Kluyveromyces lactis: one gene and its partners. The main gene of each other region encodes a partner of the protein of the gene in region 2 in a complex. Links are inferred from orthologs where the notes say so. Each region holds a gene or a part of one and is shown on either strand. Other genes may lie near its edges.

What was found. Proteins that work in one complex are often made in the same cells at the same time.
Region 1: the proteins of SET1 (region 2) and SPP1 are in contact, whole or in part, in a cryo-EM structure (PDB 6BX3), measured with the Saccharomyces cerevisiae proteins. The link is inferred for Kluyveromyces lactis from reciprocal best matches to the Saccharomyces cerevisiae genes SET1 and SPP1. Residues at the interface, in NP_011987.1 of Saccharomyces cerevisiae: Ile800, Trp801, Gln802, Ser803, Arg804, Arg805, Leu808, Glu810, Glu811; in NP_015187.1 of Saccharomyces cerevisiae: Asp134, Ala136, Val137, Val166, Asp169, Asp170, Gln177, Ile178, Val180, Leu185, Thr187, Tyr345, Ile348, Leu349.
Region 3: SET1 (region 2) and SHG1 share a complex: the UniProt entries of both Saccharomyces cerevisiae proteins name them as parts of the set1C/COMPASS complex. The link is inferred for Kluyveromyces lactis from reciprocal best matches to the Saccharomyces cerevisiae genes SET1 and SHG1.
Region 4: SET1 (region 2) and SWD2 share a complex: the UniProt entries of both Saccharomyces cerevisiae proteins name them as parts of the set1C/COMPASS complex. The link is inferred for Kluyveromyces lactis from reciprocal best matches to the Saccharomyces cerevisiae genes SET1 and SWD2.

Annotation. Positions count from the first base shown.
Region 1 is NC_006040.1:615,646-621,158, reverse strand, and holds SPP1 (Spp1p), read right to left. Parts: upstream 1,530-5,513; coding exon 501-1,529; downstream 1-500. Other genes in the region: KLLA0_D07282g (uncharacterized protein), read right to left, coding at 1-44; MCP1 (Mcp1p), read left to right, coding at 1,873-2,724; HER1 (Her1p), read right to left, coding at 2,873-5,513. UniProt on the Saccharomyces cerevisiae protein: Component of the Set1C/COMPASS complex that specifically mono-, di- and trimethylates histone H3 to form H3K4me1/2/3, which subsequently plays a role in telomere length maintenance and transcription elongation regulation.
Region 2 is NC_006042.1:2,241,536-2,251,349, reverse strand, and holds SET1 (histone methyltransferase SET1), read right to left. Parts: upstream 3,090-9,814; coding exon 87-3,089; downstream 1-86. Other genes in the region: ORC6 (origin recognition complex subunit 6), read left to right, coding at 3,434-4,684; NMA111 (Nma111p), read left to right, coding at 4,944-7,901; MRP35 (mitochondrial 54S ribosomal protein bL35m), read right to left, coding at 8,124-8,411; protein channel TOM70, read right to left, coding at 9,082-9,814. UniProt on the Saccharomyces cerevisiae protein: Catalytic component of the COMPASS (Set1C) complex that specifically mono-, di- and trimethylates histone H3 to form H3K4me1/2/3.
Region 3 is NC_006042.1:193,497-198,585, reverse strand, and holds SHG1 (Shg1p), read right to left. Parts: upstream 888-5,089; coding exon 501-887; downstream 1-500. Other genes in the region: POP4 (RNase P/RNase MRP complex subunit), read left to right, coding at 1-454; KLLA0_F02167g (uncharacterized protein), read left to right, coding at 1,141-3,024; cullin RTT101, read left to right, coding at 3,191-5,089. UniProt on the Saccharomyces cerevisiae protein: The COMPASS (Set1C) complex specifically mono-, di- and trimethylates histone H3 to form H3K4me1/2/3, which subsequently plays a role in telomere length maintenance and transcription elongation regulation.
Region 4 is NC_006041.1:1,604,243-1,609,851, reverse strand, and holds SWD2 (WD-repeat containing protein SWD2), read right to left. Parts: upstream 1,482-5,609; coding exon 501-1,481; downstream 1-500. Other genes in the region: ATP-dependent 5'-3' DNA helicase HCS1, read left to right, coding at 1-519; MCO12 (Mco12p), read left to right, coding at 1,750-1,755, 1,872-2,123; MND2 (Mnd2p), read left to right, coding at 2,442-3,257; tyrosine protein phosphatase YVH1, read right to left, coding at 3,350-4,417; RAM2 (bifunctional protein farnesyltransferase/protein geranylgeranyltransferase), read right to left, coding at 4,719-5,609. UniProt on the Saccharomyces cerevisiae protein: The COMPASS (Set1C) complex specifically mono-, di- and trimethylates histone H3 to form H3K4me1/2/3, which subsequently plays a role in telomere length maintenance and transcription elongation regulation. Involved in mediating RNA polymerase II termination.

The sequences.
Region 1 (5,513 bases), on a different chromosome or scaffold from region 2:
AACTCTTCGTTCTTAACCTTGTTTGTTCTGATATCTGTTGCCATATTTTGTTTGTAAGTTTATGTGTTTAAAAGCTTCCTCCAAACGCTTACCACAAAACCAATATCTTTGAAACTTACAGCGAGAGAATAGAGGTTCCTAATAGGAGATACAATTATAAGGTATGTCTGCTATCTTTTGTCCTGCCCCTTTATATTTCGTAAAACAACCAGACCTTAATGGTGATATTGAGCTCATTGGTTTTTCATTTTTATATTGTTTTCTCATAGAATGAATAACATGGTAAGTGACTTTAACTATGTGACGATTAGATGAATTAGGTTTACGATAGGATAAAGCTTATATACGTTCAATTATTGGACTAGAAGCATATGAAAAACCTGATGTTTGTATTAGGTTAAATTATTTATACATGCTTTTCTTGCTAGTTGATGCTACAAGTTAAATATAAGCGTTTCGCCTTCATTGTAATGACAGAAAAGTGACACATTAGATATGAGCTAGGTCTTAACACCGGGTAGGACGCGATTGGACATCTCTTGTTCGAAGAATGAGATTCTCAATTGGTTCGTTCTGACGCTAATTAGTAAATCGAGTCTTCTTTTGACGTTTTCTAGAGAGTCCTTCTGTTCCGAGAGATCGTTTTGGGACAATGTAATCCAATCCTGATGCTTAGCACATTTTGTCTTTACACAAACACCGTCAACTGATGTGATATTACTGTTTTCGTCTTCTTTCAACTGAAGTAGCTTATCTAAAAACTCCTCAACTGACCGAGGGATCGTGAACTCATTATGGTAGCCGCATATTGTAACTTTACTTGCACTTTTCGACTTCTTTCGACCTGTAGGCTGATTGAAATGTGGGGATAATCTCTCGTTAACTTCACCGATCCAGTTGACGTATTTCTCTATTACTGCATCTTCTTCATTTAGTTTTGAAAGCTTGACCGAAACCAACTCATCGTGTTCGTTAATTAATTTGTTTAAATGCTGATCATTTTCTAGCAACTTGGAATATTGATCTTTGGATAAAGGTGACGTGACTTCTGGAAGCTTGTCTCGTCCTAGCGTTTTAAATTCCTCCAATGATGTTGTCTCGTTTAGAAGCTGTCTCAACAATGCAATCTTATCTACGCCAGGTAGATTTAACTTATCAACAATGCTTTGAACGTATTGAACAGCATGTTTCTTTGAACAATATTTGCTTCTTGAATTGGCATCACACTCTGTATAGCATTCAGGGAGCCTGCATTTCCTCTTCCAAAGAGTTTTCGGTAGTTTGCCGCCATTTATCAATGCCGGTCCTGTAATTCCAGCACTACAATACGAACAGTAGAATGAAAAAACGAGATCTCTATATTTCTCGGGGATCTTTAAACAGGAAAAATGAAACCAATCATCACATCCATCACATCCTACCATCAACTCCCCAGTGTCTGGTTTCTTACATATACAATAAACTTCTTCCCCAGTTTTTGGGTCGTGTTTCCTGCTGTCATACCTGGGGCACCAACTAGGTAATGACATCGTGAATACTGTAAATTCAATCCTATACTGGAGTTATCTTATGATGATAAATATCTAGGCAGAAAAAATGAAGTATATTCTTTGTAATATTCAAATGCAACCATTCATGTACCCTTCACAGGCCATATTTGTGTTATTTCTCTGTTTATTTTACCTTCATCGATTCGTGTAATGGTTTTTACATTTTAATATTCCTTTTCTGATGCAATGTGTAAAGATGGAATGTAATGAATAAGCCAACATCAAATTAAGAAACAGATATACCAAGATTCTCAGAAATATCACTTGCCCTTTGAGTATATGAACAAGTGCGTGATTCGCTGACTTATAATTGATAAACTTCATGACTGCTGCGAAATTGACACCGTTGAAGCCCATTCCGACCAAACACATCGACCCCGATTTAGCAAAAACCCCCGAGGATGCCAGCGTCAATTTAGTGTTGAATATTAAGAAATGGCTAAGGTGGACGCAAAAATGGTCTTTATTCCCTCTAGTAACGTACTTTCCGTTACACGGTATCAATGCCCTAATAATTCCTGCTCTTGAGCCCTCCTCTTTTCCAAACGATGCTTTAATGATGGTTAGAGAACTCACATCTGGACTTGGATCTAAGTTGATTTGGACTGGGATATCAATACATATATTATCCGGATTTGCCTTGAGAATAATGAGGAAGCTGCCTACTTCTTCGAAAACACATAATGCCGAATCCTTGCTGGATACTCAGTCACTTGCACAATCTAGAATTGGTCTTGTAGGTGGTTTAAGTGGGTACTTTATTGGGATCAAGAGAAACCTTCAATATAATCCACAAGAGCTTACAGGATGGTTGTTAACTCCAGTATTATTCTTTCATGGTGCCCTCATGAAATGGCTGCCAAATACGGCGAAAGTTGATATAGACTTTGATTTTGTCAAATGGCTACTAGATAAAGACAGAGGTGCTTTGGTGAGGATAGGTCTCGGATATGGCCCCTTGGTTGCTCTTATTGGTTTAGGATCGTATCATATTATCGCTGGAACCGTTCAATATATGCATGTCCGTAGTCTAAAGACTCGTAAAAGAATAATGAACTTCATATTGCTGCTTATTTGTACCGGATATATTGGAATAAGCAGATTGGGATCAGAGATCGTATTCGGAATGGACAAATATTATAGACCAATCCTAAGAACATTGTCATTATCATGAAAATGTATGCTTTACTTCCTGCCAGTGATACACCGTTCATCGTTAATTTTATTCACCATGGCGCTTGTTTTGGTCTTCCTGTACCTAGTTTTATTTATTGTGTGTGTGGCACGTCCATATGTACTTTTGTTTATGCAAAAATATTTATTTATCCTCTGTTAGAACGAACACGACTCAAATTGTTCAACAACTTGTCATATGTCTCGTCAACGTTGAGTTGTTCGGTGGTGGTTTCATCTTCGACATAACTATCTTCACTTTCAGATGGGAATCCATTTTCCTGCGCGGAGTGTCTCTCATCATGACTCACGTTCCCGTCCGGTCTTCCTCCAGGTGATAAAACTAATGGCTTTGCATCAGCAGGTGGTTCAACTTGGATACCATAAATATTATCCAACTTGACTTGTTGACAATTAACATTATCAATCAAGTCTTCAATGGAATTGATACCTTTCGCTTTGATGATAGCCTCACGAAGTTCCGTACCAGATGGAATCTTCCCAATGAGCTTTGCAGATGCCGCGGATTTAGACAGAGCAGGAATGGAATTTGAAGAAGTTGGAGGGGTAGATGCAGTCGGTGTAGCTGCAGGCTGCCCGGTTTTCTGTGAAGTCTGCACTTGTTCTCGTGGTTTTTCAACGATTTGTGACAATTGTGGTTCCTTCCTTTGTGCATGCTTATGCTGTTGCTGTTGTTGATACTTAGACATAGGCGTGTTTTCTGGGTATATGGATCGCTGTTGTTGAACGAAGAACCCCCATTTGTGCAATTCACCTTCTTCCTCTTCTTGCTTTTTACCGAAAATAGAACGTTGAGAACTTGTCTTCGTTAAGATCGGCCTACCTGTAGTCACATCAATGGTCCTACCAGAATCAGTAGCCATCAGATGGGGTTTAGCACTGTTCGAATCTTGCTCGTGTTCTAGCTCTTGATCAATGTCCTGGTCAATAGGATCGACAAGTGGTTTCGCATACATTATTCTTTCGGAGTCAACATGCTTCAGTACTGGTCTCTCATCACTAGAAGAATAATTATCATCATCTTTATTCTTGGCATAATTTAATTCCTGGATATACGGATTAGTGGACAAGTATTCTAGGATATTTCCTAAGGTATTTTCCATGAAAATAAGTCTTAATAAATTTTCTTTGCTCTGTAATGACAATTCTTTTGAAATTCTTTGTTCGAACATGCTGTCTATGGTTTTTTGAACATTGGCATGAATCGTGTGGATTTTTTCCCAATAACGCTTGAGTAAATACCTTTTCGTCGAATCTTCTTGAAGCTTAGCAGAGTCATTGAGCTTATCTAAAATATTACCGGCTGTTTCACTGATTAGTTCACCATCGAAAAGTAAATCGTCCTGCGATGAAAGTTCGTCCAATTGCCAATTAGAGTCAATTGACTTCTGCGCGTTTCTAACTAATGCTATTGCTATTCTTGAATTGATTTCCTCTGGAATGTTCTCGTAGTTGAAGTCCAAGTTAATCAACTTATCGCTATTCTTGATACAATCATATAGAAATACAGCTGCACTCATTGCCCATGATTCTTGTGGTTGGTTCATCATTGAAACATGTAAAAGCTCTTTACACTTGGGTAAAATCTGTGTTACAAGAGAAATGTCCTTATAGGTCCATTCATTAGAATCAAAATGTAATCTTTTTAGAGAAGGGAAACGCGGTAGATATTTGTTCAAATAAGGAAAGATTGCAGGGAATAATGAAGGCAATCCCGATAGATCTAAGAAATAAAGTTTCGGTAATTTTGATAGTTCCCTTATAATCAATGCAGCCTCTTGCACCGATTGAATGTTTGTTGAATTCAATGTGAAGTATTGTAATGAGTCGAAGCTGCGTTGCGAAAGCTCTTTGATAATTGGTTTTGTCAAATTTTCGAAGTCATTAAATGCCAAATCAACACCGATGATATCATTTTCAGACATCCATCTAAATAGAATTTCTAACTGTTCTGAGGAAGCTATCTGAGATTGAGCGAGACCCAACTTACGTTTCCTTGAAAATTCGTTCTTAGTTGAGGAAAACGCGTTTATCATATTTTCGAAAGTGTGCAAGTTATTGGCAAAAGAAACACCATTGAGGAGTAGCTCTTCTAGTGGTTTACCTTGTCTCTTGTGCAAGACATCAATGAATAAAGACCAATCCATTTGAGACCTGTGTAATTTAAGATCTAGATCATGTCTGATTTTGGTCTGCGAGATGTCTAATTTCGTCAATGATTTATTTCTCATCAAGAATTTACACAATAGTTTCCATCCACGCTCATCGAAAACAACATTTCTCATCGATAGTCTTTCAAGGGTGATGCTTTTAACTAATGAAGATATGACTATCTTAAACATTTCAGGACTTAGGCCGACGTTATCAAAGACAACGTTGTGGATAGGGACAATAGCAATAAAATCAGAGAAGGACAATATATCAATAAGAGTGGGCCTTGGGTTCAAAAACTTTAATGTTTGCAAAGGTGCCTTTTTCTCCTTTAATTGTCTCAAGGTAGAAGGAATCGGAAGAATTTCACGCAAATGGCAGCATCTGGTGTAGACAACATCTAACATCAACTCATTGCCATTCTCATCCTGTGTACCGCTAGTCGAAGATGGATTGGCTCCATGCTCGGAGCCAGTTCCATTACTAGAACCCGAAGATTCTTTGAAATGATGTTCATGCATATGTATAGGTTTATCAATCTCCAAAGACTTAATCTTTTCATCTGCCACAACCCCCGCTTCAGCATTTGCTTCATCGTCGGTGGCTGCTCCAGATTTT
Region 2 (9,814 bases):
GAAAAAAAAGAATTCCCGTGAGAAAATGAATGTTATAAACTATGTAGCGTTTGCAATTTATAGAAAAGAAATGCATGAAAAGGAAATCAATTGAGGAACCCTTTGCAAGATGGTGCACCACAGAGACATGGTAATCTTTCACCTTCATCAGTTTCCCTTTCAAACTTATAATCGTACGTTAGTTCTTCATTGGTACCAATATCACGTAACGCGTAAATGACGATCCTCTTTCGGCCATCGACTTTGATGATTTTTGCCGTACAACTAGGTTCACAACAGTGATTAATAAACCTAGCGATACCACCCCTCTTTGTAGCATCTATAACTGTATTTTCATCAATTCTGAATAAATAACTTGAACCAATTCCAGACTTGATATATCTCTTCTCTCTCATTTCAGCGACCGGTTGTCTAATTGATTCGCCAACATACTCAATAATCATTTCCTTGGCTGCTATAGGTTCCAATGCATATAGGCCCCAATTGTGAATTGCAGATCTTGCAAAAGTGACGGGTTTCTTTCTTTTCGTTAATTGGTTTAATGATAATAGGTCAGATTCAAAGCCAATTGCAGCTCTTTGCGCTTCTATATCTTGCTGGAAACGTCTTTGGAAAACTCTGTTCAAACGTGAGGATGCATTATGGTTATCTTGCTCTAAGTCAGCCTCTTGATTTGTTGATTCTGTTCCATTCAAAGCCATGAAATTCTGTTCTTGATGATTATGAACAGTGTTCAAAGGTTGCGCCAACCTCCGATGATGAAGAAGGTATGAAGATTTCAGTTTATCAGGAATTTTCTTAAAGCCATCAGCAATAAAACTACCAGTCGTTGAAGCTAACGTTGAATCAAATTCTTTTTCATTCAAAGCTATTTGGTTATCCCGAATAATTCCATTTTGTTCAATCTGTTGGTATAACTTCCACATTGAGTACGGCAAAAATGGTGTATAATCAGTAGTAATATCTTTTGATTTTTCTGAGACAATGCCCTTGAGAATAGAGAAATCTTCTTCGTCTTTCAAAGCAAGCTGGAACTTATCGAGAGAAAGCTGCTTGGATTTATTCAAGTCAAAGTCATCATAAGGATATACTGGGGTTGGGAATTCTGATGCAATAGGTTTGTATTTCCCTTCATACTGTAGTAATTCCTTGGACCTTTCATCAGGTAAAGATGCAGCGCTTTCGGGCAGGTCTTCCTCCGGTGTTGTTATCACGGAAGACTGTTTCTTCGACTCATCTGAAATAATATCTTCCGATTCATATCCAGATGACTCCGGAGAGTTTTCACCGTTTGAGCCAACATTGAGTGAATCCACTGTATCTTCTCTGGTAGAAATTTCATCATTTAACAAATGCGACATATGTTCCACCTTAGGTTTCTTTTTACGTTGATGATCAGGAGATTCTTCAGTGTATAAATGACGTTTGCCTAGATCAGCTTTCCTATCTCTTTTCAGCTTTTTTGTTTTAGACGCAGGTCCGTATAGACTGAAAATATCAAATTCTGCGGGTTTGGCCTTTATCGTTGTCTTCTTTTGTGATTCCTCACGCTTCTTCTTCTCATCGTCCAGTTTCTTCTGCCTTTCTACAACTTCCGGGTAGTTAGCAGGATTTAGCGTATCAAATATAATTGGACCTACAAGCCTTCTCAAGATATCACGCTTAATGATATTATGCAAATCTTTGAGAATTTGTTTTGTGGAGGCTTCTAATAGCTCTTCCGTGCTTGAGTACTCTATCTTTCGAGGTTTATTGATATCTCTTTGGTTAGTGATATTTGATTGAAGTCTCCTCTTTGGTTCAATGAAAGTAAATTCTATTTGTATGGGAGAGTGAGTCCTATGCGAATTTATGACCAAGGCACCTGATTCGTACTCTAAACATGCTTTTGCATTTTCCAGATCATGAAAAACAATATATACGCCAGTGTAGTGATCAATAATTTTGGCCCAATTGTACTTACGAAGTTGATATCTGAAATCTGCTGCATTGAACCTATGATAAAACGTAATCTTTGCAGGAACAAACAAAACTGGTCTGTTGTTCACAACTTGAGTTAAATCGTATGGCACTCCTCTTATTACTTGAGGTTTCTGCCCGGATGATTTCTCTGCAATGGCCCGTTTCGCTTTATTCACTTCTGTCACTCTGGCTGCGTTCTGTTTGATTAGTTTGTCCTTTATTGAATTTAACACTGTATTTTGGTTTAAAATGACATTGAACTTGATACCTGATACTGTGTAAGGTGCGTCTTTGAATTTCTCTGATGCCTTATAAGCAGCTTTATATGGAGCATCAGGTTGAGAAACTGGACCAGTGAATTTTATTAGATAGACGTACAATGGCAATGCACTATTTGGATCCATGAACTGTTCAAAATGCGCTATTTCACCAAATGATTTAAAGTAGTTTTTGATTATTGCTTCAGATAATGCGGCTGCTATTGGTTGTTGGTTAGATGCAGAAGGGTATACTATGATTTCTTTTGGAGGTTCAGGACCAATGTAGAAAGAATCATACGGAATTCGCGAGTTGCGTACCAATGCACTTCTAAGCTTTCTATATCTCTTTTTCGCAGAAATGGACCCAGAGACCGCATCCCCATTCATAGGACGTATTCTCGGATCCACCGAAGTTTGTTCAGGCTGCCTGGCCATGAGTATTGGTTTTTGCTTATCCGATGCAATCAACTCCGTTGTTGTCACATATCCATGCTCAGGAATCTTCTCAGATTTCCATTTCTTGAAGCTGGATTCATTTCGTAGTCGTTTACTTACAATGTCGTAATAATGATATTTTGTATTAAACTCATCGCGATCGTATTTCGCACTCACTACTGGACGCGTTGCGAAGGGATTACGAGGAATCTCGCTGATACCACGCGACTGCGACCGTATTGGACGAGATTCGTTCTCATTATTCCTAAGTTGAGACCCAAACCCCTCGCGGGAGTATCTTCGGTTCCCTGATCCATTCCGTTGGAAGCCCTTGTACCTATTCCCATTTTCTTGATATGCATATCGTCCGGTTTGGTACCGATCATTATTCCCATGAAAATGAGAGTACTGTCTATTATAGTACCCACTCATGAGAACTAAAATATACACACACGCTGGAATAGCAACTTATGCTAGATGAAATACTAGAAGTATTGCCAAAACTGAACTTATAGATGGAGAAGCGAATAATGATACTTTTGATTAATATTCAATTTCATTATTTACCATATTTTGTTTCAATATTGGAGAAAATCGAGAAAATCAGAAAAAGATCAAAAAGCTACATAAAGACTGTTTTTAATATTATGTTAAAAATGGTCCATGGAGATGAGATGAGATATATGTCTTTTCCGGGCCAGTGTAATACAACAAGTGAGTAGATGATCCTATTTTAGTCACTTTAGAGTGCTAAGAATCCGTGGAAATAATTTAAGATGTCTACGCAGCAAGTACGAACGTGTGTAACCGATTTATTAGGGGTCAAAAATGATTCTAATGTTGACTGGCAAGACCAACGGTTAAAGAAAGTGGCTTCTACTACAGCAACATTATACAACGTTTCAGTATCGAAAGTGATGCTGAAGAATTCAGAGGAACTTGCTCGGTGCCATATATGTGCACTGATTGCGTTTCAGAAACTAGCTGAGAAGTATGACAATGACCTACCATATTCTCAGGAGAAGATCCCGCTTCCACCAGACCAAGTATCCAAACTTGTGAATATATTTAAGAGAAACATATGGCCTCATTCGCCGCAAAAGGATACCGAAGGACAATTGCTGAAGTTTGATGATACTGCATCACCATCGGTTAGAAAGTCAGCGGTTAAAAATGCAAGATTCACAGGGATAGATCCGAAGTCGTTACAAGAACAGCTATTCCAGACTCCGTCGAAATCAAGAACTAAAAGTGGTATCCAGCCCTTGAAGAATGTTGATCTTTCACCTAGCAAAGGGAGTAGGTCAAGTGTCCGGAGGAAATTAGTGTTTGAAGCTGATACAGAAAATGGCCTTCCGTTGCCCATATTAGCAACCCCGAAGAATAAGACTGATATGATCAATATACCACAAGTGTTTGGATCAGTTGAGGATGATCCTGAATCTCCATTAAGACAGTCACCCTTTCGTGACTCCCCTTCTAAATACACGCCTTCACCAAGAAAGAAAAGAGGTAAGTATAACGAATGGAACATGCTATACAAAAAATACTATAGACCGTCTACCGCTGAACTGGTGACTCTGTGCAATGAATTTGAACTTCCTGAAGAAGTAACAGCTACCATAATTTCCGAATTCAATAACAACGCTACTTACCTAGCGTATCCTACACAGTTGGTTTGTGGTCTGGTACTTCTTTGCTCGTTCGTTGTCTTCAACCAACAGAGAAATCAGGACAGTACAATCGATAACAAGCTAATGAAGAAGATGGCGGCACAAATGAGAACAACAAATGATGAAGATATCATGGAAGCTATCAAGATCACAAAAGAACTAATAGACGGTGAGAAATGGTACCGAGAACTCCGTGTCAAGTTCGATTATTACGATGGATCGGATTTCGATAACGCTATCGCCGTCAGAATAGGCAGCATGTTACAAGACGAATATGAAGTCGTATCAGAAGAGCAATACTCAAACTGGAAACGAAGAATTATGGTCGACCTCAGTCTAAGAGATGGCACATGAATGGTTTCCTCCGATACCTTTCTTCTCACCGTCCCCATCTTCGCATTTATCATTCAATACGTTTTCATTACCTTTCTAATGAATTTTTCACGTTGACGTTTACCGAAGGGAACGGCAAGATGAAAAAAAAGAAGATAACTAAACATAGAGAGCGCAGATGAGATGAATTGAAGAGAGACATTACCGTCTGTCAGAACTCTGGAGATCGGATTACTCTTCGAATAATCAACTGCGAAGTACGTACCGAGTAACTGGTGAAATGACTGTTGAGTTGAAGCGAAACCTACTCGAATCATCTGTTGAAGACATTGATCTTGAATCCAAGAAACAGAGGGTCGACAATGACGTCGATCAGAACACAAGTAGTGTAGACGAAGATATTGATTATGAAGAAGACTATGATGAAGTGAACGATGTACCTATAGATTCAGGCAACTCTTTATTCAATAACAACGCTAAATGGCAAGAAACTATCTCCAAAGTTGTTAAGTCGGTGGTCTCAATTCATTTCTCGCAAGTCGCACCTTTCGATTCAGAAGCTGCCTTGGTGTCGGAAGCAACAGGTTTCATTGTTGATGCAAAACTCGGTATCATCTTAACAAACAGACACGTTGTGGGTCCAGGTCCATTCATCGGATACGCCATTTTCGACAATCACGAAGAGTGTGATGTCATCCCTATCTATCGCGACCCAGTTCATGATTTTGGGTTCTTGAAGTTTGATCCATCGAAGTTGAAATATATCGAGGTCACTGCACTAGAGTTGAAACCATCTTTGGCCAAGGTTGGTTCTGAAATCCGTGTTGTTGGTAACGATGCTGGTGAAAAATTGAGTATCTTGTCAGGGTTCATCAGTAGACTTGACAGAAATGCACCAGACTATGGTGAGCTAACGTATAATGATTTTAATACTGAATATATTCAAGCTGCTGCTGCTGCATCAGGTGGTTCTTCTGGTTCTCCAGTTATTACTGTAGAGGGGTATGCGGTCGCTTTACAGGCCGGTGGCTCTTCGGAGGCTTCTACAGATTTCTTTTTGCCTCTTGATCGAGTCGTCAGAGCTCTACAATGCGTACAAACGGATAAACCAATCACCAGAGGTACTATCCAAACTCAGTGGGTATTGAAACCATTCGATGAATGTAGAAGACTTGGATTAAGTGAAGATCGTGAGAAGGAAGCTCGTAAGAGGTTCCCGGGTAAAACTGGTTTGCTGGTGGCTGAGGCTATTCTCAGAGAGGGACCAGCTTATAATAAAGTTCAAGAGGGTGACACATTAATTTCTATTAATGGCACACCAATATGTTCATTTATTCAAGTTGATAACATTCTAGATAGCAGTGTAGGAGATGAGATAATCATTGTGGTTCAAAGGGGTTCCAAAGATATTTCCTTCAGATGCACTGTTGGTGACCTGCATATTATTACTCCTTCACGTTATGTCGAGGTGTGTGGTGCTAATTTCCATGAGCTTTCGTACCAAATGGCTAGATGCTATGCGTTACCTGTAAAAGGCGTTTTCGTGGCAAGTGCCACTGGATCGTTCGATTTGGATCCAAAGGAGAAAACTGGATGGGTTATTGATTTTGTAGATAATAAAGAAACACCAACTCTAGACGACTTTATAGAAGTCATGAAAACAATTCCTGACGAAAAAAGAGTAATCGTGAAATTCCATAACTTGACAGATGTTCAAACACAAAGAATAACCAGTGTTTATATTGACCGTCATTGGTGCAGTGAGTTCCGAATCTATACTAGAAATGACAAAACAGGTATTTGGGATTATGAAAAGATCACTGAGAAATTACCACCACTTCCAATAAAACCACAGAAAGCTAAGATTTTAGATCTACCGATTAATGATAATAAAAAACTTGCAAAAATGTCACATAGTCTATGTGTTGTACATTCGGTTATTGCTATCACCATGGACTCCATGGAACCCGAACCCACAAACGGATGTGGTTTAGTACTCGATGCTGAGAAGGGATATGTTATTGTTTCACGTAGTTTTGTTCCTCATGACTGTTTGAACACGTTTGTCTCGTTCGCTGAATCCATTCTTGTACCTGCTAAAGTTGTATTCTTACATCCTACCCAAAATTACGCTATTGTTCAATATGATCCATCTTTAGTTGACGCCCCAGTATGCACACCAGTGCTAGCTAATGAAAGGCTTGAAAGAGGAGACGAAACTAATTTCATTGGTTACATGTACTCAAACACTTTAATCAGTTCCAAGACTAAAGTCAATGGCATCTCTTCTCTGAGTGTTCCTAACGACATCATTCCTAGGTATAGAGCAACCAATCTAGAAGTCATCTCCATTGATTCGAATATAAGCACCAAATGTAAATCAGGAATATTAGCGGCAGATGATGGTACAGTGAGAGCAATCTGGTTATCCTGCATGGGTAACAAGGAAAAACTGTATTTAATGGGTTTAGACGTAGTGGATATCAAAGAAGTTGTAGATATTCTCAGGGCTGGTAAGAATCCTAAGGTTTCTATTGTGGACGCAGGATTTGATTCCATCTCATTATTGCAGGCTAGAATCAGAGGTGTTCCTGAAGAATGGATTAAGATGATGGAAGAAGAATCAGAAAACAGATTACAATTCATCAGTGTCACCAGAAACTCCTATACAACAATAAAGGAAAGGCTCGAGCCTGGTGATATTATCTTATCAGTTAATGGGAAACTGGTAAAAAGAATGAGGGATATTGGTGGTGTCGTGGGGACTGATGACGATACGGATATCGAATCTGAGTTGTTATTCAAGGTTGTAAGAGATGCGAAGGTTATCGATTTGAAAATAAAAACTGTACAAATTGAAGAAACCACTAGAATTGTCGTATTCGCAGGTTGCGTACTACAAGCTCCTCATCATGCCGTGCGTCAAGTAAAAACGTCTATTCCTAGTGAAGTATATGCGGTTTCTCGTGGTACATCTTCTTTGGCGTTACAGTACGGAATAGAAGTGACCAACTTTATCACACACGTCAATGACCAATCAACACCTGATTTGGATACATTCTTGAAGGTTGTTAAAGAAATCCCAGATAATACATACTGCAAGTTACGCTTAATGACATTTGACGATGTTCCGTTTGCCATTTCCTTAAAGACAAACTATCACTACTTCCCAACGGTAGAATTAAGAAAGAATCCAAAAACAGGTAGTTGGATCGAGAATGATATCTCGGAGACTTAATTTGACTATATATATGATTAATCATTTTTTACCGTTGTTTGCAAATTGTATATAGGTATTTATTAATGATAATTATCCATTATAGTAACCCGCTGATTTTTCATGACATGCTTTACTGAAAATCATGGTAAGAAATGGTGTGTCATTCATTATGGGGATGCCATTGTTATATGTACAGGATTGAAATCGAAACGATATCTTATTTTAATTGCCTTTCATCTCTTAATGGTATGGAAGCAATCTCTTTAAACGATGCATATGTGTGGAGTCTGCTAATGACCTGCCAGATAATGATTTAAGGGAGTTCCTACTCCATCCAGCATTACCATGATTTCTTCCAGCCTTGCCCCTCTTGAAGCTATTGGCTGTTTTTCTCCATCTTTTTGCGGCACCTTTGTGTGTTTTCATCAAGTTTCTGGTGAGGATGAGCGATGAAACATTAGTTTTAGATCCCAGAAGTCCAGTTCTAGCGGAAAAGTTCATCATCGAACCAAAGATAGAAGATAGCATATTTGAAGTAGTTCGCTGGTGGGGTAAATCCTGCTATAGTCCGTTAACAATGAAGTACTTGAATTGTAGCTCACTTTCACTCAGTACCTTGCCATAATCTCACAAGAAACTTTTATTACATACACTTCTTTCAGAGAAAACAAAAAATGTCATTTATGTTGAAACGTATGTAGTGATATACTATCGAAGTGTTTAAAATTACAATTTGATTAAATTGTGAGATGGGGGAGATACATGTATATACAGAAAGACGTATTTGTTTCTAGCAAAATGGTAGAAGATGATGTTTTTGAACCAGGGGTATTTAGGAGCACATATTTTGCAATGAGCTGTTATTGAAAAGCGTTGTTCTCGTATTCTTGTTCTTCTGTGTTTCTTTTTGTCTTGTTTTTGTGAAGAATTGATAACTATTTCTTATTCTTCACGTTGTAATGTTGAGATCTTGTCGTTTACGATTAACACAGTTCACGCTGCTTACGAGTCATAAATAACTTGGGTGAAATGCTACAACTTTTTGTTTGTAAAATCATAACTTTCTTGGTAATTCATTCGTTTAGATGTTGCATGGTATGTTGCCATTATGGTCATTAAGGTGAGACAAAAACAATGAGCTATTGTAGCTTTACTCATATTGAAATGAATTAAATTCATTCGTGAATATCATGCTAATTTACGCGAGACCTTGAGCACGGTAGGCTGCAATAGCTTCGTCGATCTTACCCTTAATGAATGGATCAGCTCTGATCTTTTTCTGGACCTTGGTAGCCTCAGCGAAAGTAGTAGCTTGTAGTTTTTCATCGAAAGATCTTGAGAGATCGGCAGCATCTTCGAACAATTGAATGGCATCATCAATTTCTTCTTGTTGCAATTTTAGTTGAGCAAGACCGATCTTGGCTTGTTCGGATCTTGGATCGATCTTACAAGCTTCTTCAAATAATTCGGAAGCTTCAACGAAGTTTTCAACGGTTGGGTTTCTAATCAAAGCAGTGGCCTTACCAATCATTGGAGCAATACCGACGTGAATACCTGGTAAAGCATCTTCCAACTTGATGGCAATATCGTATTGCTTGATGGCAGCATCTAGAGAGTTCTTAGCAGCCAAAATTTCGGCATAAAAGTTTGGAACTTCTGGAGCAGTTGGGAACTTTCTTCTGGCTTCGCTGAACAAAGTTTCACAATCATCAAATCTATCGTCACGGAAAGCCAAGCAAGCACATTGGATGTAGGCAAAAATGTTTTCTGGATTTAATTCCTTAGCCTTATCGAAATCGGCACCAGCTTCTTTGAAGTTTTCAACAACAAAATGCATTTGACCGCGATGATAGTAAACAGCAGAGCAGTTTGGATCTAATTCTAAAGCTTTGTCAAAGTATTCCTTGTATTGGTTGGCTTCACCCTTGTCA
Region 3 (5,089 bases), about 2.1 Mb from region 2:
GCAACTGCCGAATTTTGAAACTTTCTCCTCCATGTTCGAAGATATATGGTGTCCATACATGAAAGAATTGTTGAACATCCCAGATAATCACAAAGTTGGAAATCCATTACCTTTGAACTCTCAGCAAACTTTGATCAAGCTCTCTATGGCTGATTATAACGGGTGTAAGTTGAAGGTATCTAAATCCAAAAACAAGTCATTAACTGGGAAAAATGGTATTGTAATATGGGATGCTCAAAAGACATTCATAATCATAACGAAAGGCGGATTAGTCGATGAATTGAAAAGCATACCGAAGAAAGGAACAACTTTCGATTTCGAGATTCCAATCAATGAAGAAGAATCTTTAGCCTATACAATTCTTGGTGATAGATTTAAATATAGAAGTGTTGATAGAGCCGGTAGAAAATTTAAGAGTCGCCGTTGCGATGACCTATTATATTACATTAGTTAACGAAGTAAAATATATATGTAGCAGCCTTGCTACTTTATCTGTTCAATCAACTATCATTAGTTTTGGCTTCAAGGATAGTTCTTATCTTTTGTCTCGTCGTCGCATCGTCAAGTGAATCACTCAGAAGCTTCTCCACATCGATATTTGACGTGTTTAAACTCTTGAATCCGTCTTTAAATAATTGGCCCTCAAGAAGAGCAGTCGTGGTACCTCTGTTCTTGAAAATTAAAGACTCATCTTCATTTACCCTATCACGAACTAAATCCCTTACTCGGCTCTTTATGAATTCGTCCAAGCTAATATCACCCTCTACATTTTGAGATAGTATTTCATTCTTTAAACTGTCTAAATGACCCTCCTTCTTAAAAGTTTCCGCCAAATATTTGGCAGGATCTAAAGACTCTTCTTTCAAATCGTTACCATTACTATTCATGCCGTGTACTACCCTTAGGTGATTGTGAAACCATCAATACCAGACCAAGGTAGCAATTTCTTACACTGAATTGCAAAGAAAAGGTCTGCAAAATCGCCAAAATTTCCAGTTTTTTGGCCAAGACAAGATAGTTCAATAGTCAAACCTCCATTCAAGATGCACTTCAACAAAGAAGTGGCAGGAGCAATAGAGCTTCTTGTTATACGTTGAGCCCTGTGTATGACACCTGAAAGATATGAACTATTAACTTCCCATGAATATTCGAAACGGAAAAGAGCTAACATGGTTCACCTACGGTAATTTAGTGAATAAATCAGAGGATGAGTTAAAAGATGTGAATAAACGACTTACACGATGGATTGACCAACTAAGGTACTCGGATGCTAATGGATTGGACGACAATAAGAACCGTTTACTCGATGTCACAAGAGGTTTCTTACAAAGCTTTGACAATGAAATGCAGCATATGACTAACACTATTGAAAGTCCATTGACTATTGGGAGCTTGGCAAAACACATCCTAACAATAAAACTTCAACTAAGGAAAATACAGCCTCTTTTCTTACCTTTAGAGCGAGCACTACACAAACTCGGGTTAAATATACGACATTACTCACTTCTCGTACAATGGCTGGTCACCATTGTTGGATATAAATTATATTCTGAGTTGAACGATCTAATTAGAAGAGGGTTTGAAATTGAGGTTGAGACAAGATCCATATCGAATGACCAGTTTTATGAGGTTTGCAAGTTATTTTCAGACTTAGGATTTGATTCACATTATCATCATTTTTTGGATCCGATATCCCTACCTAAGAACAACGATGTTAATCCACGATTTATCTTATCTATTCTCGAGGGCTTGGTATTAACCTTCAAAACCCAATTGCAAGTACAGTCAGATATTAAGGACTTTGAAGCGGAAGCTTATACCTTCATGAATTATTTGCACAACGTGACTCTCCAAATATATCCCGAAGAAGTTTTTGCAGTGACTCGTGCCGGTTTTTTTGCTGTATTTGCTGACGTTGATTTCTACAAAGCTTCGATCTCACAGAAACTCGGTTCATCACAACCGCTCAATTCTCAGCGTATCAGCTATAATATATGTGGTTTACAAAGTGTTTTGACCGAAAAGGATATACTATCTGCTAACCTCGAAATTACTACGAAGTGGGTACAAGATTTGACTGAGGTTGGGCCTAATTACCACCGCCTCTTGATCCGAATGATGGATTTCATTCTTCAACAGCGCAAGCCTATAATGAGCCGCCAATACGCATTTGAATTGGACTCTAAAAATACTATTAAATTCATGAGACTGATGGTGAAACACATTCTTACTTATTTTCCAGGCACTACCAACATTGGAGATGTGTTGGGTAAAAAAGCATACAACATGACTGAAAAAGAAAGAAGATGGCTAACGAAAATAGGAGTATTCTTGAAGAACACTCGACAATTTCAACCATTTTCTGCTTCGTATTTTGAGCAATACGTTATAAAAGAAATCATTCGAGATAATCTAACCATAGATCTAGTCAAATCTATTTTAGTTGGCAAGAAACTAGAACTTGACGCTCCCCTCGCTCGCTTTTACATAGTAATGCAGCAGGATGCTGGGACACTAAATAATATTAACAGGATGTTCAGTCATTTGTCATTAAAGATAACGAGAAACAATAGGAAGAACGATATCATCTTACCAGCAAAAATATTTCCTAATATTTACTCAGAAAATTCGGCAAAACTTCCTTTTAATCTGCCAGGAAAATGGGTTAACAAACACGAACCACGGATTACAAGTGATGGTATTAATGTACACTTTTATGATCAACCGCATCTACATAGAGTCATCATGAAACCTACAATTTTTCAAAAAACCAACATATCCATAAACTTCAATTTATGTCATGCTGTCATTCTTGATACATTGTTCAATAAAAAACTAAGCTGGTCGCTAGATGAAATGATTAGTGCTCTTTCCGTTCGCAACCAAGCAATGTTCAGCCATTATTTATCATCCTTAGTCAAGCACGGACTCTTGATCAGGAAAGAAGATGGCATATTTGCACTTAATCTTGGATTCAAACCTAACAGTAAACTTCTGGTGAATAATATTTTCACAATACCATGAGCTCAGTATACCAAAACTTCTACTGTTACGTCATTGGCTGCTAGTTACGTAGCCAACACAATGTACTTCCTTTACCTGGCACGTGACTCGTATGTCTTTTTGATATAGTATTGGGCAAGTACGTAGGATCATATAACACTTAGTATTTCAATTGTTATGGGACAGTATGTATCGCATAAAGGTTCCACCCTCAACGTACAGTCAATGTGACATGCCGTTATTGGTTCCCGAACGAATCAAAAGCTCAAAAGTTCTGTACGATTCTCTGTTATCTGAGCTCGAACTGCTGCTTAGACAATATCAAATCCCAGGAGATGACCTTAAACACGATGAAAAGATATATTTCACTTTGCAAAAATTGATTAGATGTAAAGTACCGAGGCTTGCTAAGGCTTCCAGTAATTCAAGTCAATATGCTGCTGTCTTTAAGGACACGTTTGTTGAAGATCTCTGGTCACTTCTTAGCAAATTGATAAATGAACAGGTGGACGAGGAAGATTTCACGAATATAGAATGGTTAACAAACTTATGTGAGTTAGAAGATGCTTACAAAAAGATACAGGGCAAGGTGAACTCTTTGCAATATTACACCAAGGCTTTTCTCCGGAACCTTCCAAATAGTTTGGAAAATATCTCCTGCCGATCATTAGAAGGCTACGCAACGTTAGTCTTTTTCTCAAGAATAGCAAATCGATTGCACTCGCAACTACGACAAACTATCGAATCGTTTATAGTCGAAGCGTTAGAATCACGTACAACATCCCAGTTCAGTTTGGTCAAGAACATTATCAGGTACGATATTCCAATTGATAAATCGTCAGTGTTGGGGCTTTTTGAAGAAACCACTAATCGCATAATTAACTCCTTTACTTATAGTTCTGACCACTTCAAAAGAGTCGACAGTCTTCAAAAACAAATCATATACTACTGTTCCGAATATCAAATATTATGTCAAAATTTAAGCATCAATACTGTGGATATTCTTTTATTGAAGTTTAAATACTTCGAGGATTTCTTCGATAGATGTATGGATGATCAAATGACGATAATAACAATAATAGAAGAGCTAGGGGATATGATATATGCCTATTACCCGTGGCGAGGTGAGGAATATGATAACTTCGTAGTACGAGTTATATGTAAAATGCTTGACGAAGACTATTTGTCGTCCTTCATCTCCACCTATTCCATGTCAAGCGAATCTTTTGATTCTAATCGAAAGGCAATAATGAAGAATATGATTACATTGACTTTTAATGCAGACATAAAGAATATTGAAAAAGTTGACAGATGGTTGTGTAAGGTTTCTGAGGAAGGGCAATTTTCTGGGATTAAAGATCTGGTTAGATCATGCTGCATTTTTATGAACGACATCTTTCCGCCAGACTCAAAACAAGACGAGTTACTATGGAACATATATAAGAGAAAATATTTTCTACGGTCGGTACTAAAGTCATTGGGGGGTTCCGAGCAGCTGATTAAAACAAACGAGAGATTCGACCAACAGCTACTTTGCTGTGGGCTGTTGAAGTCAGTTCACATTCTTGAACTCCAGCAGCTAAACGACGAACTAATTGAATCATTGAGAATGAAGAGAGCTCCAAAGATAACTCCTGTCATTCTTAAACAATCTAACATCTCGGACTCGTTGGATTCATCCGAAATTTCAGGACTCATACTACCGGAACCATTAAATGGTATGGTGAATAAACAATGGGAGTACTACAAGGTTTTAGATAGGAATGATCACAAAACAATGTCACTCCAGTGTCAGCTAAATCTTCTGGAATTGAAAAGCCCCTTTAGACATGGAATTTCTTCTGAAATAGTGATACTTCACGTTAACCTACTTCAAGCATCAATATTTCACTTATTTAATAACAGTGCTCGTCTTTCACTTGAACAAATAAAAAACACTTTGACAGAAACAAAGCACAATATACCTCAGATTGACAGCAATATGGAAATGTTTTTACAAATGAACATGTTTAAAAAGGATTCTGAGGACTGTTTTTATCTGAATACTAAATACAAACCCAAAAAGGAAGCTCTTAATGATGGTAAA
Region 4 (5,609 bases), on a different chromosome or scaffold from region 2:
TGGTTAGATACTGAGGGAGACGACTTTCCAGAAAGGTCTGATGAAAATGACAACGATGCAGACGATAAGTTCCACCTAGTCTCTTCAAAATACAACGAAAATGAAGCATATTTGGCATTATACCACGTTGAGCAGTTGATAAAGGCTGGTGTTACGGAAGAAAGTATTGGTGTGATCTCCCCGTATAATTCACAAGTATCGCTGTTGAAAAAACTCATCCATGAAAAGCATCAAGCAATTGAGATATCTACCGTAGACGGATTTCAAGGTAGAGAAAAGGAGTGCATCATCCTATCTTTAGTAAGAAGTAACGAGAATTTCGAGGTTGGGTTCTTGAAAGATGAAAGAAGATTAAATGTCGCGATGACCAGACCTAAAAGGCAGCTTTGTGTCATCGGTAACATGGAAATGTTATCGAGATGTCGAGTGCCATTCCTAAATAGATGGGTGCTCTGGGTAGAGTCTGGCTTCGAAGTCATATATCCAGATCCCAGTATAATTCATTCGTTATATACGTAGAAATCTACAGTTTCATCTGCAGTGACAAACATGCTATATTTAGGATTGAATGCAATAGTTCTGGGACATGTATTTGGTGCGGCGTTAATAAATCCTTGAGGTTTGAGCGTCCTACCACTGATGAAGTCTGCGTGGTTCCATATCGCGATCTTCCCAGTGTAATCAGTTCCCAATGTAATGCGTCCATCTGGAGTGAACGTTGCGGATCCAGAATCCATGAACTCTCTCAATGGGAAAGGTTTAGTTCCTGATAATTCAAATAACTGTGTACCATCGAAGGAATCCATGATCAAATGTTTTCCAGCGGACGACGCAAGCAACAAATATTTACCATCGTTTGAAAACTCCAATTTATTCCACTGATCAAAGCTTGGATCCACATTTATAACTAAAAATGGGCCCGCCTTCAAATGTTTTACGTTATATAAACCGACTTCATGGTTCTCAGGGTTACCAATGGCGAACACAAGCCCGCTTGGATCGTAAGCAATGCATGTGGGGACTAAACTTGGTATAAGGGCCTGTGCCTTGGAGCTTCTCAAATCCCAAAGTCTTACCGATTCGTCATACGATGCAGACAAAAAAGTATCATCCAACGGGGACATTTGTATATCGCTCACTAGAGCACCATGGCCCTGGAAATATCTAAGGTATGTGTTTGTTTCAAGATTCAAATGCCTTATGTCAAACGATTTCATAGTGGATGAATAGATACATTCTGATTGCGCATGTGTAAACTTTGCGGAATGACATCCGTATTTTTTAGAAGCGATGGTATTCAAAAACCTGCAACTTACTGCATCATATAGATGCATATTATCACTAGCAGTTGCAGTCAACAAGTACTGGCCATGGTCATCAAATGTCACTGAAGTTATAGGTCCCAATTCTTTATCAGAAACTCTGAAGGACTTCACAGGCTCAAATCGTAGAAGATTGCTCTTGGAAATGCTAACAGTCATATTTCCTTTCTCAGCTAACTTTTAGATAATCACAGAACTGTTGCTAAACCGCTGGTGTCCCGTTGAGCTTCTCTTTTTGTCTCCAAATTGGTAATATTTCTTGATGGTGTTAACAGTTTTATTTAAATTTAAATGTTCCTCGAAATTGTAATGACATCTGTCAAAGAAATCAATAGTGTTAGTCACTTGCAGGTAGAGAAATAGAGCCTTTCTGGTCTTACTCTGGCTTTATAAAGAACTGACATATTTGAGATTTGTAATAAGAATCATGGGTGTACGTACCGTTCATTTTTTTGAAGAAGGTGGTTAGATACACCACCGTTTTCATCAACGGACTTTGATTTACTAACTAAAAGGTAATCTTAACTGCATTTATCAAATTCCAATCAGGTTAAAGATATAGTTCATTACAGTATTGACTTAGCGTTGTTGTCTATGGTATTGGCTGGATTGCGTAGAAGTAACAATTATGTTGTCGCTTATGAAATGTCTGACTTGAAGAATTATATTAAACGGTATCTTGACTGGGGAGAATACTTATTCGATAAGTTGGCTAACATGGCTGAAAGAAGTGCTTATTTTAGGAAACAGACTCCTTTTGACAAGTTCTTGGATCATATGGAAAGAAAGCGTAACCTGTAGTTACACCAATAACGTTTATTCAAACATACATACTAATATATAATATTCAGTTCTTTTTAGTGTCTTCTATCAATTCATATCAAATATAAGATAACTGGAGTGAATGCCATCAAGACGCCGGCGTTTAACTACTGGTAATTGGTGAGTAGTACAGCTCTCCTTATTTTTGTTGATGCTTTTTCTATTTCTTTTAAAATAAAACCTTTAAATCATGATTTACTTGTGTCCTGTTAAACACCACTGTGTCAATGGCAATAACAGACATTAAGAGGCTGTTCACAAAATATTTTTGGAGACAGTAGGCTTTACAAGTAAGATATGGGGCTTGGAGAGTTTATGTATGGCCTTGATGCCTTCAGACAACCTTCTGCACCATCCGATTTCAATAACATTCCTTTGATAAACAATCTACGAAAAGAGCTTCTGCAAAGCAAGACAAGCAGAAAAGGGAAACCGGTGAGTTGGAACATTGATAAAGATACCAAGAGACGGATCAAGCCTGGGAAGAGATTGATTCCTCTTGCGGCGTATACTTGCCATAGTGAGAAACCTTTAATTGCCAATAATGACGGAGATGTGTCTGATTCCAATACCATTAACATTCTAGATAAATCGACACTATTGCTGATAAGATCTCTTGGCTACTCAAGTTTGCGACCTATTGGCATTGATAAAACCCTAAAAGAGATCGAAAAGGAGAAGGGAAGTAAACAGAACAAGCAACAAAATGAACACAATTCAGGGCAAGAACCAATACTTAATGCCTACCAAACTTCCTCTTCATTTATTGTGTCAAATCATAATCATCAACATACAGAACAATCGGTACTGCTGACAGCACAAGTTGGTGAACAATCTGAAGAAGAGTACGATCAAAGTTATGATTACGATAACGAGTATGCGGAAGTTCACGAACAAGGATCTATGCTCGACAGAACGAGAGGTACGTTTGTTGAGGATTCACAATTAATTGATACAAGTTATACCAACCGGTCAAGATCCAGGCATTCAAATGTGGATGCACTGCCATTTGTAAATGAAAATGAGGATTCGGTCCATGAACAGCCATCGTTGACCATATCTGATACTCTAGACTCCGGTGCTCAAGGTTCACGAGTATCTAGCCTCACCTAAATGCCTATTAAAGAAGAATGACATGTATTAAACAAATAAAATAAAAAATGCTAACCTTTATGAATGATATTTATGCGAGTACTGAGAGACCATTATTCTTCAAACGATACTAAATTAGGTAGGTCTTTCCTAGTTAATGCTATTTGTTCGACTTTAGCTGTTTGGATATGGATTGCCGGAATCATCCATTTACCACAACTGCATCTAGAACCTTTCCAATTGTAACCTCCGATCTTGCTATCACAGTTCGGACAGAAAAATTTACCTTCAAGCTCTTGCTTTTGTAATTCTTTCTTCATCCATTCCAAAGGCTCCACGAAATAGTGCGAACAACGGTCTTGTGATTGTTGAATATCAATAATTCTTCTAGATCCTGCGGCCCTCCTAATGAAATGACCTTCCATTGATTCCTTACTTGGAGGATCATGCTTAATGAAAGAAGTGGAAAATGCAAGTCTAAACCTACATTTTTTGCAACGGATCGCAGAAACATCTTCTACTTCCTCTTTCGATAACTTAGCTACCTTTTCAGCTTCAACTTCTTCAGACTTATACATTTCATTTTGAGCCATGATATTGGCTCCCAAGGGATCAGTTTTAATGGAATTCTGTAATTTCCATTGTTTATAGTCTTTATTCTCGACATCCACTATATTCGAACCCATGGCTTCATACAGCTTCAGTTGCTCCATAAAGTTCTCATTTGGTTCAGCTACGCTCCGTTTCCTCTTCACTGCATGTAAAGCTGTCTTCAAATTGAACCCGTATCTGTACATTAAATACGCTACTGCAAACGTAACAGATCTGGATACACCTGCTTGGCAGTGTATATATATGGCACCCTTTTGGGGCTTCTTTTTGAAATCAACCTTCACTCGGTCAAGCTCTATCTCATCGGGAAACAGGCATGAATCGATGTATCTATTCGTTTCATTGAAATACTGCAACACATCTGTACTCAAATTATCGTCAATAGGAATATTCTTCAAAGTATAACTCTTCCTGACCAAGTATTCTGGAATGATCTCAAATTTGATCACTGATAGGATGTGAGTGATCTGATAATTCACTTTCAGTGGAACATGGTTCGCAATTGGTTGAATACCACCAACATAGATCCCACCTAGTACTCTTGTAATATCAGATTCAGTATTCGCCATTGCAGATGATTGTAGCTGATTATTTATGAATACTTGCCGGTACTAATATCTCTCTCTGAGGCGATTCCCGTCCACTCATTAAACTTTACCTCGTCTCATCTCATCGCTTCTTCTTCTTTAATCTTTTTGGCCTTGGAACAATTTTTTTCCAGTCTAGTTGAGGGAAAGAAACGTGATTTGTGTCAGTGAAGGTAGAGATGATATGATACTTCTGTAGTACCGACGGGTAGGATAGCCAAGTGAGCTTGGATGTGGGAGCCCTTTGCGCGACAAGGCATCCTTGTATGTTAATAATACAATCCTATATAGTTAATTGTCTGATTTTTAAATTCCAGTAGTTTTTCCTTATAGGATCCCAAGTGTCTGCTAATGCCTGATATGCGATCTTGGACTTTTCCGAGTCTGTTTGAGAATATACATCAGCTAGGAGCTCCAATGCGAAAGAAGACTTAACATGGGAGATTGGTCTTTCTTCTTGGTCGGTATATGTCTCCAAGGCGTTATCTATGAAGGACGAAGCAAAATTAATCAACTTGGAATCGTATTCGTTATTCTTGAATGACTTATAAATAAAACGTAGATGGTTCCAGGGGCTTACGTTTTGTGGAGCCAACAATATCTTATCCATACAGTATTGAATTTCCACCTCTGCTACTCCTTCCTCTTGAACATGATCGACGTTCTTCAAATAAAAAGCTCTATGGGTCCAGGCGCTGTTGTTATACACGTCTCTATCGATGTACTTGTTCACAAAGTCGAGTTCATGGGACCAATCTTTGAAGAATTGGACGGACCATTTGCGGTACGACCATACATGGTAATTTTTTGTATCGTCATCGATCATCACGTCTAGTATAGGAAGGTCTCGCACTAATTTGGGGGATGGATGTTCTGAGAGTAGCGCTTGTCTGTACGACCAAATCTGGTAGTTTTTCGGGTTATTTAAGGTGAACTCATCGAGCCAATCCAATTCTTTCTCCCATGCGGATACATCTTCTTTCCGGAACAAGGACATGCAAATCTCGAATCTGTAGTTCCATGCGGTGTATAACGCTGGTACAGTCTCAATCACCGCGGCAGTTACTGCCATTGCTCTTTCAGATAATTCATTTTGTTGTAATAATGCAACGAATAATGATACGAGTTCCTTGTATTGGTCTGTGTATAGGATGGCACATAGTTCATTTTCCAA